3 linked regions of the Ovis aries genome follow. The protein of the gene in region 2 purifies or fractionates together with the protein of the main gene of each other region. This does not show direct contact. Links are inferred from orthologs where the notes say so. Each region holds a gene or a part of one and is shown on either strand. Other genes may lie near its edges. The genes, in order: AIFM1, OTUD1 and FLNC.

Region 1 (2,590 bases), on a different chromosome or scaffold from region 2:
GCTTAGCCCTGAAGCACCAGTCTCCGAACCTCTGTTTCCGTTTGCAGTAAATGTCTTTTCTGTCCTCCCCTCCCACGACCAATTCAGTTCTGGGCTGGGGGGTACACAGGGGAGGTGTCCCAGGTAGAGCAGAGTTGAGTCCACATGTTTATGTGTGTGCTCATTCAATGTTTCGCTGAGCACCTACTATGAGCCCTGTGCCCAGCTCTGGAGAGAGAACCGTGAGAAGACAGGAAAGCCTGAGTTCTGGCTTCCAGGGAGCTGCAGAGCAGCAGGGAGACATGTAAGCAAGGAACAGGCTTGGGAGGATCAGGAAAGTCTTCAGAGACGGCGATTTTCCCCAGAGGAGGGGAGAGGGGTCAAGTTCTGCAGGAAGAGGCCATAGCAGGTCTGTACAGAGTCTGGAGGGCGAGGGAGTTCAGGAAACTGAAAGAAGCTGAGAGTGTGAAGCAGGGAGAAGGAGGCCGAGAAAGATGGTCTATTTGGGAATGGCTCCAACTGGCCTGCTCTCTCATTCGCACAGCTTTCCTCCTTTCACCCACTCACTCCCTTTCAAAGAGAAGAGAATTTAATTTAGAAGAATCAGGTTTTATTTAATGATGTGAACATTAAGAATTTGCCTACATGGTTGAAATATTCACAAAGGACTTGATCATTCATACCCATACATTCAGAGAAAGTCTGCTGAATAAAAAAAAAAAATGCTCCTTTACTCATCTAAGCTGTCCTCAGGGACAGCCAAGGGCCTGCCTGCTACCCATGGTGAGCGCTTCAGTCTTCATGAATGTTGAAGAGCTTGGCTACTTCATTGAGATCTTCATGTTGCTCACCGTCCTTAATAATCTGAGGGACAGAGGAACAAGGAGTCTAACTCACCCTGTGTGTGTGCAGGCCAGGCCAGCCCCCACTCCATACCAGGAGGGAGTTGTGGGAAGGGCTTTCTGCAAAGCCCAAGTGAGGACATGCTAATGCCCAGGCCACCCAACCGTGTCCTGAGTGAAAAAGAAACAATCCTTTTTTTAAAAAAAAAAAAAAAAAAAGAAAGAAAGAAAGAAAGAAACATTTCTGAGCCAAGGTGACATCTTGTTCTGCTCAGGCTCAATCTGACCTGGGAGGACAGTGCATGGCAGGACAGCTGATGAAGTCACAGGAGGGACTTCCGCCCACACCCTTATCTTCCTCTCAGAGCTATGCCAGTACCTACCTTCCGTGCTATTGGCATCCGGTTGAAGATGTTCCACAGCACGATCCCCACCACCACTTTGTCCCTGAGGTAGAAGATGACACCTTTGCCGTAGTCCTCCCCTTGGGTGGGGACCTGGGGGACTGCAGGGTTGCTGGGAGGAACAGGGATGTCCGAGGCCTCAGATTCTGTCTCGCTCTCTGATCGGATACCAGTGCCTGTGGCCAACCCCCCAAACAAACAAGCAAAGTCAAAGTAAAACAAAGTCACTTATTATGCGCTTGGAAATTCTAGAAGGCAAGTATCTTTCAACACCTGCTTCAGGCTGCTTCTAGACGATTTGTTTTTCTATGCTGCCTCAGTAAACACTGGTCTTCTCCAGCTCCTCTCCACTGACAGAGCCAACAAAAGCTCTTCCTTGCCAGCTGCTGGGCACTGGGTCAGTCTGACCCCAAACTTTCTATCTCATTTTAAATTGACTCTACGGATATTTCCTGGTATCTTTTTCAAATTACAGAAGACTTGTTCTTGTCCTCTGAGAAACATCCTAGAGCTACGGTCAGTACAATAGCCACTAGGAACATATAGTTATCCTAATTAAAATTAATTCACAATTGAAGTTTAATTTTCATTAAAATTGAACAAAAAATGTAAAATCCAGTTCCTCATTTGCCAAACCAGTTCATTTGTGAAACCCAACACTCCCCTGGTGGTCTAGTGGTTAGGATTCGCTGCTCTCACCACTGAGGCTCGGGTTTGATTCCCGGTCAGGGAAGCCTTTCTTCTTGAGCTTCCCAGGTGGCGCTAGTGGTAAAGAACCCGCCTGCCAGTGCCAGGGTCATAAGAGATGTGGACTTGATCCCTGGGTTTCGAAGATCCCCTGGAGGAGGGAAATGGCAATCCACTCCAGTATTCTGGCCTGGGAAATTCCTAGGATGTGACTGAAGCAACGTAGCACGTTTGCACTAACCACATTTCAAGTGCTGAAGAGTCATACTGAGTGGCTAATGTTTCAGACAGAAACAGAACACTGCCACTATGGCAGAAAAGTTCTCTTAGCACCACTAGAGACACTCTGGCCAAAGCAGAAGGCACTTCCAAAGGGAAAAACCGTAGTGCAAGTGTTTCCTCCTGGGTGGGGTGGTAGCAGCAGCCTGGGGAGAGGGTACTTTGTCTTCTGAGAACCAGGCTTCAGGTAATACTGCCCAGTGGACAGAGCAGTGACCTGCAGTTTATAAGTCCCTGGGTCCTCCTCCGGGGATCCACTTCCCAGGAGAGGTCCAATTTAAGGAGTAATAACGTAATCCACTTAGATTATACATGAACAAGACCCTTATATCCATATAATATCTTGCTTTCTCCTTCTTAAAGAGCAATTTGTCCTTAAAATGCCTCTAATAGGAGGAC
Region 2 (3,750 bases):
TTCCCACAACCTCCCCTTAAGTATTTTCTCTTTAAAAGGTTGACCATTTCTAGAAAAATAATGATTTTCCAAACAACTAATCTGTCATCAAAACGGAATGGGCCAATTATCTGGTAACATGAAAGCATCAATAGCCATTTGAAATAATTATCTAAGAACTCTAAAATTCAAATCCAACAACATAAAATACGAAATCACAAACTCTGCTCAAAATAATAAACTTCATATAAAGCACTTCTCTGGATTTATGCCGGAAAGCTGTTTGTCAAAATGGATCACATCCTAGATGAAGGTACACCAATTGTTAAAAATGTTGTGCAAAAATACGTTTTTATAGAAAATAGATTACCAGGAATGAACAAATTTACACTGAGAAATCAGCTTGCAAATTAAGTAGTGCCAACTTTATACAGCAAATCATAAATAGCAGTAGGATCACCCAAAGCTACTATGAAACATCATTTAGGTGCCCAGCAACCTTCAGCTCTGAGGAGAAAACATTCAAAAAAATGATTAAGGCATTACACCTACAGTAAATCTACTAGAAAGTTTAAAAGTGCAATTACCCTGATTAAAGTTCATATAACTCTCCAAACACAAATTAGGTATGCAATTTTCCCAGGCCGAGGGTCTCAGACACTTCAAGAGCATGCATTTTGCTCAATATACATTTTGGACAGGGATATGGCCATGGACTTCGCAAGTTCTTCATCGCGTTTTCTCTGCACTTGAGTCTGCCTGCACCAAGTGTCATACTCCGGGTTCGGATACGAGTGATCAAACACCGCGTCATAATGTCCGTTACTGAGCCAACTGAGCCAAATGCTAGGCCTTAGGGAATCCTCCGGGCCCAAATAGTGAATCATGGTAGACACCGTGGGGCTCTCCAGCCTCCCTCCAGTAGTCAGATGGATATTCACATTCAGCATCTGCCCCATGGCCAGCAGTTCGGGGTACCCGGCCCAGGCCCCGTCCTGGGCAGCAGCGATGATAAACTCCCCCACGTCGCCCTCAATCAAGGGGCTAAAGTGGTCGAGATGGTCGGCGATATAGTGCACCGTCTGTTCCCGTAGCTCCCGGTGCAGGCTCTGGTCCCCGTACACCGCCTTGCTTACCGCCCGGTAGAGGCAGTTGCCGTCGGGAATGATGTGAAATCGGTACTTGTTCCTCTGCCGCAGGTACTTGTCCTGCCTCTCCACCTCCGCCAGGTACAGGGCCAGCTTCTCGTCCCTAGGATCCGACCTGGACACGATCACCGCCTCGGTCGCGCCGCCCGGGGCCGCCTCGCCGCTCCGGGCCGGGGCCGCCTCGGCCTCCGGGTCGGGTCGCCCCGGCTCTTCGGCGCCGGGAGCGTCGCCGCGGTCGCCAGCTCTGTCCCAGCCGCGGAGGTTCCTCTCTGCCGGGCGCTCCTCGGCCCACGGGCCAGGGCCGGGCTCCGGGCTTCCCGGGGGCGGCGCGGGGCCGCGGTGCTTGGCGGCGGCCAGGGCCTGGCGGTGCTCGCTCAGTCGGAAGTTTCTGTCGGGCCCCTCGCGGGTCGCGTCCAGACCGGCAGGCTCCGGGCCATCGGGCCTCAGCAGCTCCTCCAGAAGCCAGGCCGAGGAGCCCCGCCGCGGCGGGATCGGAGCGCCTGGTGCCGGGGCCAGCAGGAGGCAGCGGCCGCGTGGGGCGGCGGAAGCCGCGGCGCCGGGCTCGGGGCCGCGCAGCAGGAGCCGGTCGGCGCCCAGGGCCCGCACGGTGATCTGCGCTGTGGACGTGTAGTGCGGCGGCAGAGGCGGCTTGCAGGACCCGCCGGGCGGCCCGGCGGCGGCGGCGGCCGAGGCGGGGGCGGCGGCCCCGGACACCATCTCGAAGCAGGAGGAGAAGGCGGGCATCTTGGCGGCGGGAGCGGCGGCGGCTTCGCGGGGCTCGGCGGCCGCGGCCGGCTGGCACTCACCGGTCTCGGGCTCCGGGGCGCCACCGGCGGGTCCCGGGGGCTGCAGAGAGACCTTGAACGAGGCGGCAGTGGCGGCGGCGGGCGGAGCGGCGGTTGCGGCCGTGGGACCCGGGCCCCCGGCTGGGTAGTGGGTGCAGACGCTGCTGTAGAGCTGCATGTCCCTGCCCGCCGCTCGGCCCCTTATAGGCGCGCCGAGCCCTAGTGAGGGGACACACCCTCCGGGCCCGGGGGAGGGGGCCGGCCGAGCGCGGTGACCCAGTGCCCTGAGAATAGAAATGACCGAAGGGCCGCCGGCGCGTCAGGAGCTGCAAATAGCGCCCGGGTCCCCGCCAAATTCCTGCTGCGCCACAGCGCGCGGTGGGGGCGGGGAGGGGACGCGCGCTCGACCCCTGCCGGCGCTAGCGGCCCGCAGACCCGGGACGCGTGCGCCCGCCGTCGCTGCTCCGGCCCGCGGCGGCCGCTGAGGACTCTCAGAGGTAGCCGCCCGCCCTGCTGGAGCGCGTCCCGCCGGCTAGCAGCTCTGCAGGGCGCGCGGACGAGCCAGGAGGCGGGGCCACGGTTGTTTACCTCAGGCAGCGCTGCCGCGTCACGTGCCCTTATTGGAATGTGCGGCTCGTCGCGGCGTCCCATTCAACCGCCGGGGCTCGCCCCACCCCCTCCGTCTCGCCCCGCCCCATTCGGTGACGTCATGGGCGTGGCCCGCAGCGCGGGCGACGGGCGCGCGGGCGGGAGGGCGCGGAGGCCTGTGCAGCCGTGGCCGCTGCCCCACCTCAGTGTTAGTTTCTAGGCGCCGCGCTTTTCTACGCTTTAGCGGTGGATCTTAGAGGGTTCGGGGCAGCTTGGGGCGGCCAAGAGTGCTGAAAGTGCGTTTCAAAACAAGCTTCCGAGTTCTGCGTGGGGACAGCTGCCCTAAAACCTGCATGGCCTCTGCATGGTCATTGCACCACTGCCATCTTTTTCACTCAACCCTGAGATTATATTGTTAACGTAGCAGTGTGACGCCTCCCTTTCTCCCCAGCACCTTGCCGCCCTGCTAAACCGAAACCAACTTTTCTGCTGTCCTAACCCGTATTTGATAAGCAAATACAAGTCTTGGGTGAAATACCAAATGCCTAACCGGGCCTCTTGAAAATAGGTGCAGCTGTTCACCGTAGGTCAGCGGTAAAGAGGGTCGTGATGCATTGCGAGAATGTTGAAATTGAATAGAATCTTGAACATAGTTCTACCCTATTGTGTTAGATGTCCCTGTTTGTAAAGGAAAGCTAAAATGGTCATGATCAACTTGTATACTGACTGTATAGCAGTGGGCAGCTCTTGCTATATTCTCAGCTTTGATCACATGCTAACTGACAGACCCTAAATGTTCAGAGTGAACCTACAAAGCTGTTTCACTGTTTCAGTGATGAGGAAATAGCTTATGTTATGGTATAAGCCTCCCCACTCCACGTATTGTTTTGTGAATCTTAGGTTCCCTGAATGGAAAGACTTAGTCTTGATGGCTATTATAGTTACAAACCCAGCACAGAGGCTGGCACATAGATGGAACTAATTAATATTTATTGAATGAGTTAATTAATGGAAGAGGAGTTCCCAAAACAGTGGAAAAGGCAGAATTACGATCCTGGTCTCCTGACCCCTAGCCAGAGCTTCAATTTGCCGTCGTGCGTGTGACTGACAGGATCCCAGCTGCCTTTGCCCAGGTCACTTGAACCTGTTAGGTAGGTCAACTGGAAGGAAAAACAACCACATAAAAGTCTAACCGTCTTTTCAGCTTCTGGTGACACCCCACTGTAAGCTTGTAGACCCCACTGGCTAAC
Region 3 (3,650 bases), on a different chromosome or scaffold from region 2:
GACTTATAGAGAGAAGGCCAGAACTTTAGGCCTGGAGAAGGCTATTCTTTGCAAGCCCCTGGGATAGCTTTGAGAAGGGGTTGAGGCCCAGGATGATGTGGTCTGAGGCTGGTGGGATACTGCCCCAGTGCCAGGTGACCCAGGCCTGGCCTGGGCAGGCGGGGGCCACTAAGGGCCCATGAGAAGACTTAGACATCACAGATGAGAACAGTACCCCACGTATAGCTCTCTTTCTGACCCTCGTCTCACGAGATGATCTGTCGTCTCCCCACCTCTTGGAGCCATGTCCCCCTGGGGGAATCCTCCCCCAGCCTGGGGTCAGCTGGGGAGCAAGGGGTGGGAGGAGGGGGCACCGGCCTCCTGGGAAGCATTCCCAGCTGCTGAGCCATTGCCCACGGTTGGCTCGACTGCCAGCAGTGAGCTCAGCTGTTCTGGCCAGTCATGGATTCCAGCCTTTGAGCTGGTCCCCTCCCCGCCAGGGAGCATCACCCTCCTCCTCCAGCTCTGGCTGGGACCCAGCACCCCCTAACCCCTGCACCCTTTCCCAGGAGTGACCCCTGGCTGCCTCAGCAGTCCTCCCATCAGGAGGGCTGGGTTCTGGGCGGCCAAAAAGAACTCGGCCTCTCAAACAAGCTCTTCAGTCCCTTCATTTCCCCGAGGCGGAAGTTAGGAAGCAGAGAGAGCCTTATGCTCTACAGCTGATGTGGGAAGTGCATGGACACCTAGGGCTTCAGGGCAGCTGTGAGGAGACCTTTCAGGAGATGGGTCAAAGGCACTTGTGGGACGGGGACTGCCCACCTCTGAGGCTGCTGGAATGAGGCGGGGGGTCTGTGAGGGGTGCGCTCCCTGGAGTTTGGTGTTCAGGGTGGGTGCTGGGGCCTGGGCAGGCCGGAGGCCGGCTGGCAGGACTGGTGCCAGGCTGCGTCAGCTGGGGCAGAAAGGCTTCATTGTTGGTGATCGGGAGGGCTGCAGTGCGTCTAAACAGCAATGGGCATCCCAGCTAAAGGGCCGTAAGGTTGGGGGTCAGCAGGAACCCAGCTGGTCAGGGGCCTGGGGCCGTATGGGAAGGGAATGTGAACCCACGGCCTGGGAGGGTGTTGGTGGAGCAAGTGCTCTGCGTCCTGGCTGACCGCTGCCCCCTCATCACTGCTTCCCTCCACCATCTCTCTAGGCCTCTGCCCTGACTGGGAGGCCTGGGACCCCAACCAGCCTGTGGAGAACGCCCGGGAGGCCATGCAGCAGGCGGACGACTGGCTTGGGGTGCCCCAGGTAGGCGGAGAGCAAAGGGACTCGGAGAGGGCCAGGGGTGGGGTTGAGTCTGTGAAGCTACCTGGGCAGGATGCTGGGGACAGAGGACACTTTCTGACTCCCTTCCTCCCTGGCAGGTGATTGCTCCCGAGGAGATCGTGGACCCCAACGTGGATGAACATTCGGTCATGACCTACCTGTCCCAGTTCCCCAAGGCCAAACTCAAACCTGGCGCCCCTGTTCGCTCCAAGCAAGTGAACCCCAAGAAGGCCATCGCCTATGGGCCTGGTATGTGTTGAGCCCTGACGGTCTTTCCTGGGCAGCTGGACATGGCCTGGGATGGTTCTCCCTAAACTCCGTGGCTCTGCCTTCCACGCTCAGGGATCGAGCCCCAGGGTAACACCGTGCTGCAGCCTGCCCATTTCACCGTGCAGACAGTGGACGCTGGTATAGGCGAGGTTCTGGTCTACATCGAGGATCCTGAGGGCCACACTGAGGAGGTATGGAGAGGCCACTGGAGACCGGACAAGAGCACAGACCAACAGTGGAATGGGCTGGAGATCGCTGCTGGGGCACTGGAGAAGGGGGAGGCCTCACCATGGGGGTTGCAGAAGGCGTGGGGTCAGGAGGAGCTCTGACGGCCGATCGTTTCCCTTCCTGTAGGCCAAGGTGGTTCCCAACAATGACAAGAACCGCACCTACGCTGTCTCCTACGTGCCCAAGGTCGCCGGCTTGCACAAGGTATCCCTCTATAGGCTCTCCTGTGTCTTCCCTACTCCATTCACATCCTTGCATCTGGCTGAATTGGACCCCTCTCTCAGCTCACACCCCACCCCACCCTCATGCACCAGCCCCACCCGCCTCTCATCCTGCTTGGCTTTGCCCCGCCCCTCAACCCCCCTCTCAGAGCTGCTTTCTTCTAGAAGCTCACCTTTGGCCTCTGACCTCCAGGTGACCGTGCTCTTTGCTGGTCAGAACATCGAACGCAGCCCCTTTGAGGTGAACGTGGGCATGGCCCTGGGAGATGCTAACAAGGTGTCAGCCCGTGGTCCCGGCCTGGAACCCGTGGGCAATGTGGCCAACAAACCCACGTACTTTGACATCTACACTGCAGGTGGGGATTGGCCCTTCCACCAGACACCCCATGACTGTTCATGGTGGGGGACCTGGGGGCCAGGGGCAGGGCCTGGCCAGAGGGCCGTGGTCTCAGGGTGAGGGAGCCTGAGCAGGAGGGACACACCATGACTATTTTTTTGGGTGGGAGGGGGTGCCTGGGGGCCGTGGTCTCAGGGTGAGGGAACCCGAGCAGGAGGGGCTGACAGCCGTTGCCGTGACAGGGGCTGGCACAGGGGATGTTGCCGTGGTGATCGTGGACCCGCAGGGCCGGCGGGACACGGTGGAGGTGGCCCTGGAGGACAAGGGCGACAGCACGTTCCGCTGCACGTACAGGCCCGTGATGGAGGGCCCCCACACGGTGCACGTGGCCTTCGCCGGAGCCCCCATCACCCGCAGTCCTTTCCCCGTCCACGTGGCAGAAGGTAAAGGCCCTTCACCCACCCCCGTGACCCCCCTCGCCAAAGGCCAGGATGCAGAGTGTTGCCACCAAGTCTGAGGACTTACGGGAAATGAAGCACCGCAACCAGGGGGTGGGGTGGGTGGGGATGGGGTCAGGGGGAGCCTTCTGTAGGCTTAAAGTGGGCAGAAAGAAGAGCCCAGGGTGGGGCTCCTGAGAGCTCGTCTGTCCAGCCCCCGCCCCTGAGGACGGTCAGGTCACTGTGAAGGATACCAGACGGGCCACGGTGGAAGGGCCGAGGGGGAAGCGACCGGACCATGTGGGCGGAAGGGCATATTCACTGGAGCACCTTGCACCAGGCTCTCAGGCAGTGACTCCCCACTCTCTCTCCGCCACTCAGAGCCCCTGCCGCCGCCGCCCGCCCCCTCCGTGCCCATCGTCCACCAGGCCAAGAGAGTGGTGCCGCGTTAGTACACGCCAGCGGAGGCGGGCTGGGCATGGCCATAGCTGACTGGCCTCCCCTGTGCTGTGTGGCATGGCCCGAGCTGGGTGCAGTCGCCCCCCCTCCCGTGGCATTCTGTGACAGGCCCCAGGTTCCACGCCTTTGCCTCTGTTCTGTGGCAGCTCTCGTCTCTTGGGACTGGCCTGGTGATTTCTGTGAGAAGGGTCTGGGTTCTGTGGCAGTCCCCGGACACTGGGCCGTTTTGTCTGTGTTCCGGGGCAGGCCTGGATGGATGATACACTGTTGCCTGTCGGGTGGCGCCCCGTGGGCTCCATGCCATTTTATGTGTCCTGTGGCAGGCTGAGGTCCCCGTCCTTTGGTCTGTGTTCGGCAGCAAAGTCATTGCCACCGGCAGCGTTCCGCAGCAGGCTGACCGTCATGCATTGC

Evidence for each region.
Region 1: the proteins of OTUD1 (region 2) and AIFM1 purify together in Homo sapiens (affinity purification with mass spectrometry; 3 studies listed by BioGRID, with this or other methods). This does not show direct contact. The link is inferred for Ovis aries from reciprocal best matches to the Homo sapiens genes OTUD1 and AIFM1.
Region 3: the proteins of OTUD1 (region 2) and FLNC purify together in Homo sapiens (affinity purification with mass spectrometry; 3 studies listed by BioGRID and IntAct, with this or other methods). This does not show direct contact. The link is inferred for Ovis aries from reciprocal best matches to the Homo sapiens genes OTUD1 and FLNC.

The regions. Positions count from the first base shown.
Region 1 is NC_056080.1:113,994,189-113,996,778, forward strand, and holds the end of AIFM1 (apoptosis-inducing factor 1, mitochondrial), read right to left. Parts: intron 1,402-2,590; coding exon 1,205-1,401; intron 844-1,204; coding exon 772-843; 3' UTR 573-771; downstream 1-572. UniProt on the Homo sapiens protein: Functions both as NADH oxidoreductase and as regulator of apoptosis.
Region 2 is NC_056066.1:23,757,051-23,760,800, reverse strand, and holds the start of OTUD1 (OTU domain-containing protein 1), read right to left. Parts: upstream 2,283-3,750; 5' UTR 2,091-2,282; coding exon 642-2,090; 3' UTR 1-641. UniProt on the Homo sapiens protein: Deubiquitinating enzyme that specifically hydrolyzes 'Lys-63'-linked polyubiquitin to monoubiquitin.
Region 3 is NC_056057.1:94,501,603-94,505,252, forward strand, and holds part of FLNC (filamin-C), read left to right. Parts: intron 1-1,171; coding exon 1,172-1,269; intron 1,270-1,385; coding exon 1,386-1,536; intron 1,537-1,629; coding exon 1,630-1,748; intron 1,749-1,911; coding exon 1,912-1,989; intron 1,990-2,199; coding exon 2,200-2,362; intron 2,363-2,585; coding exon 2,586-2,786; intron 2,787-3,161; coding exon 3,162-3,227; intron 3,228-3,650.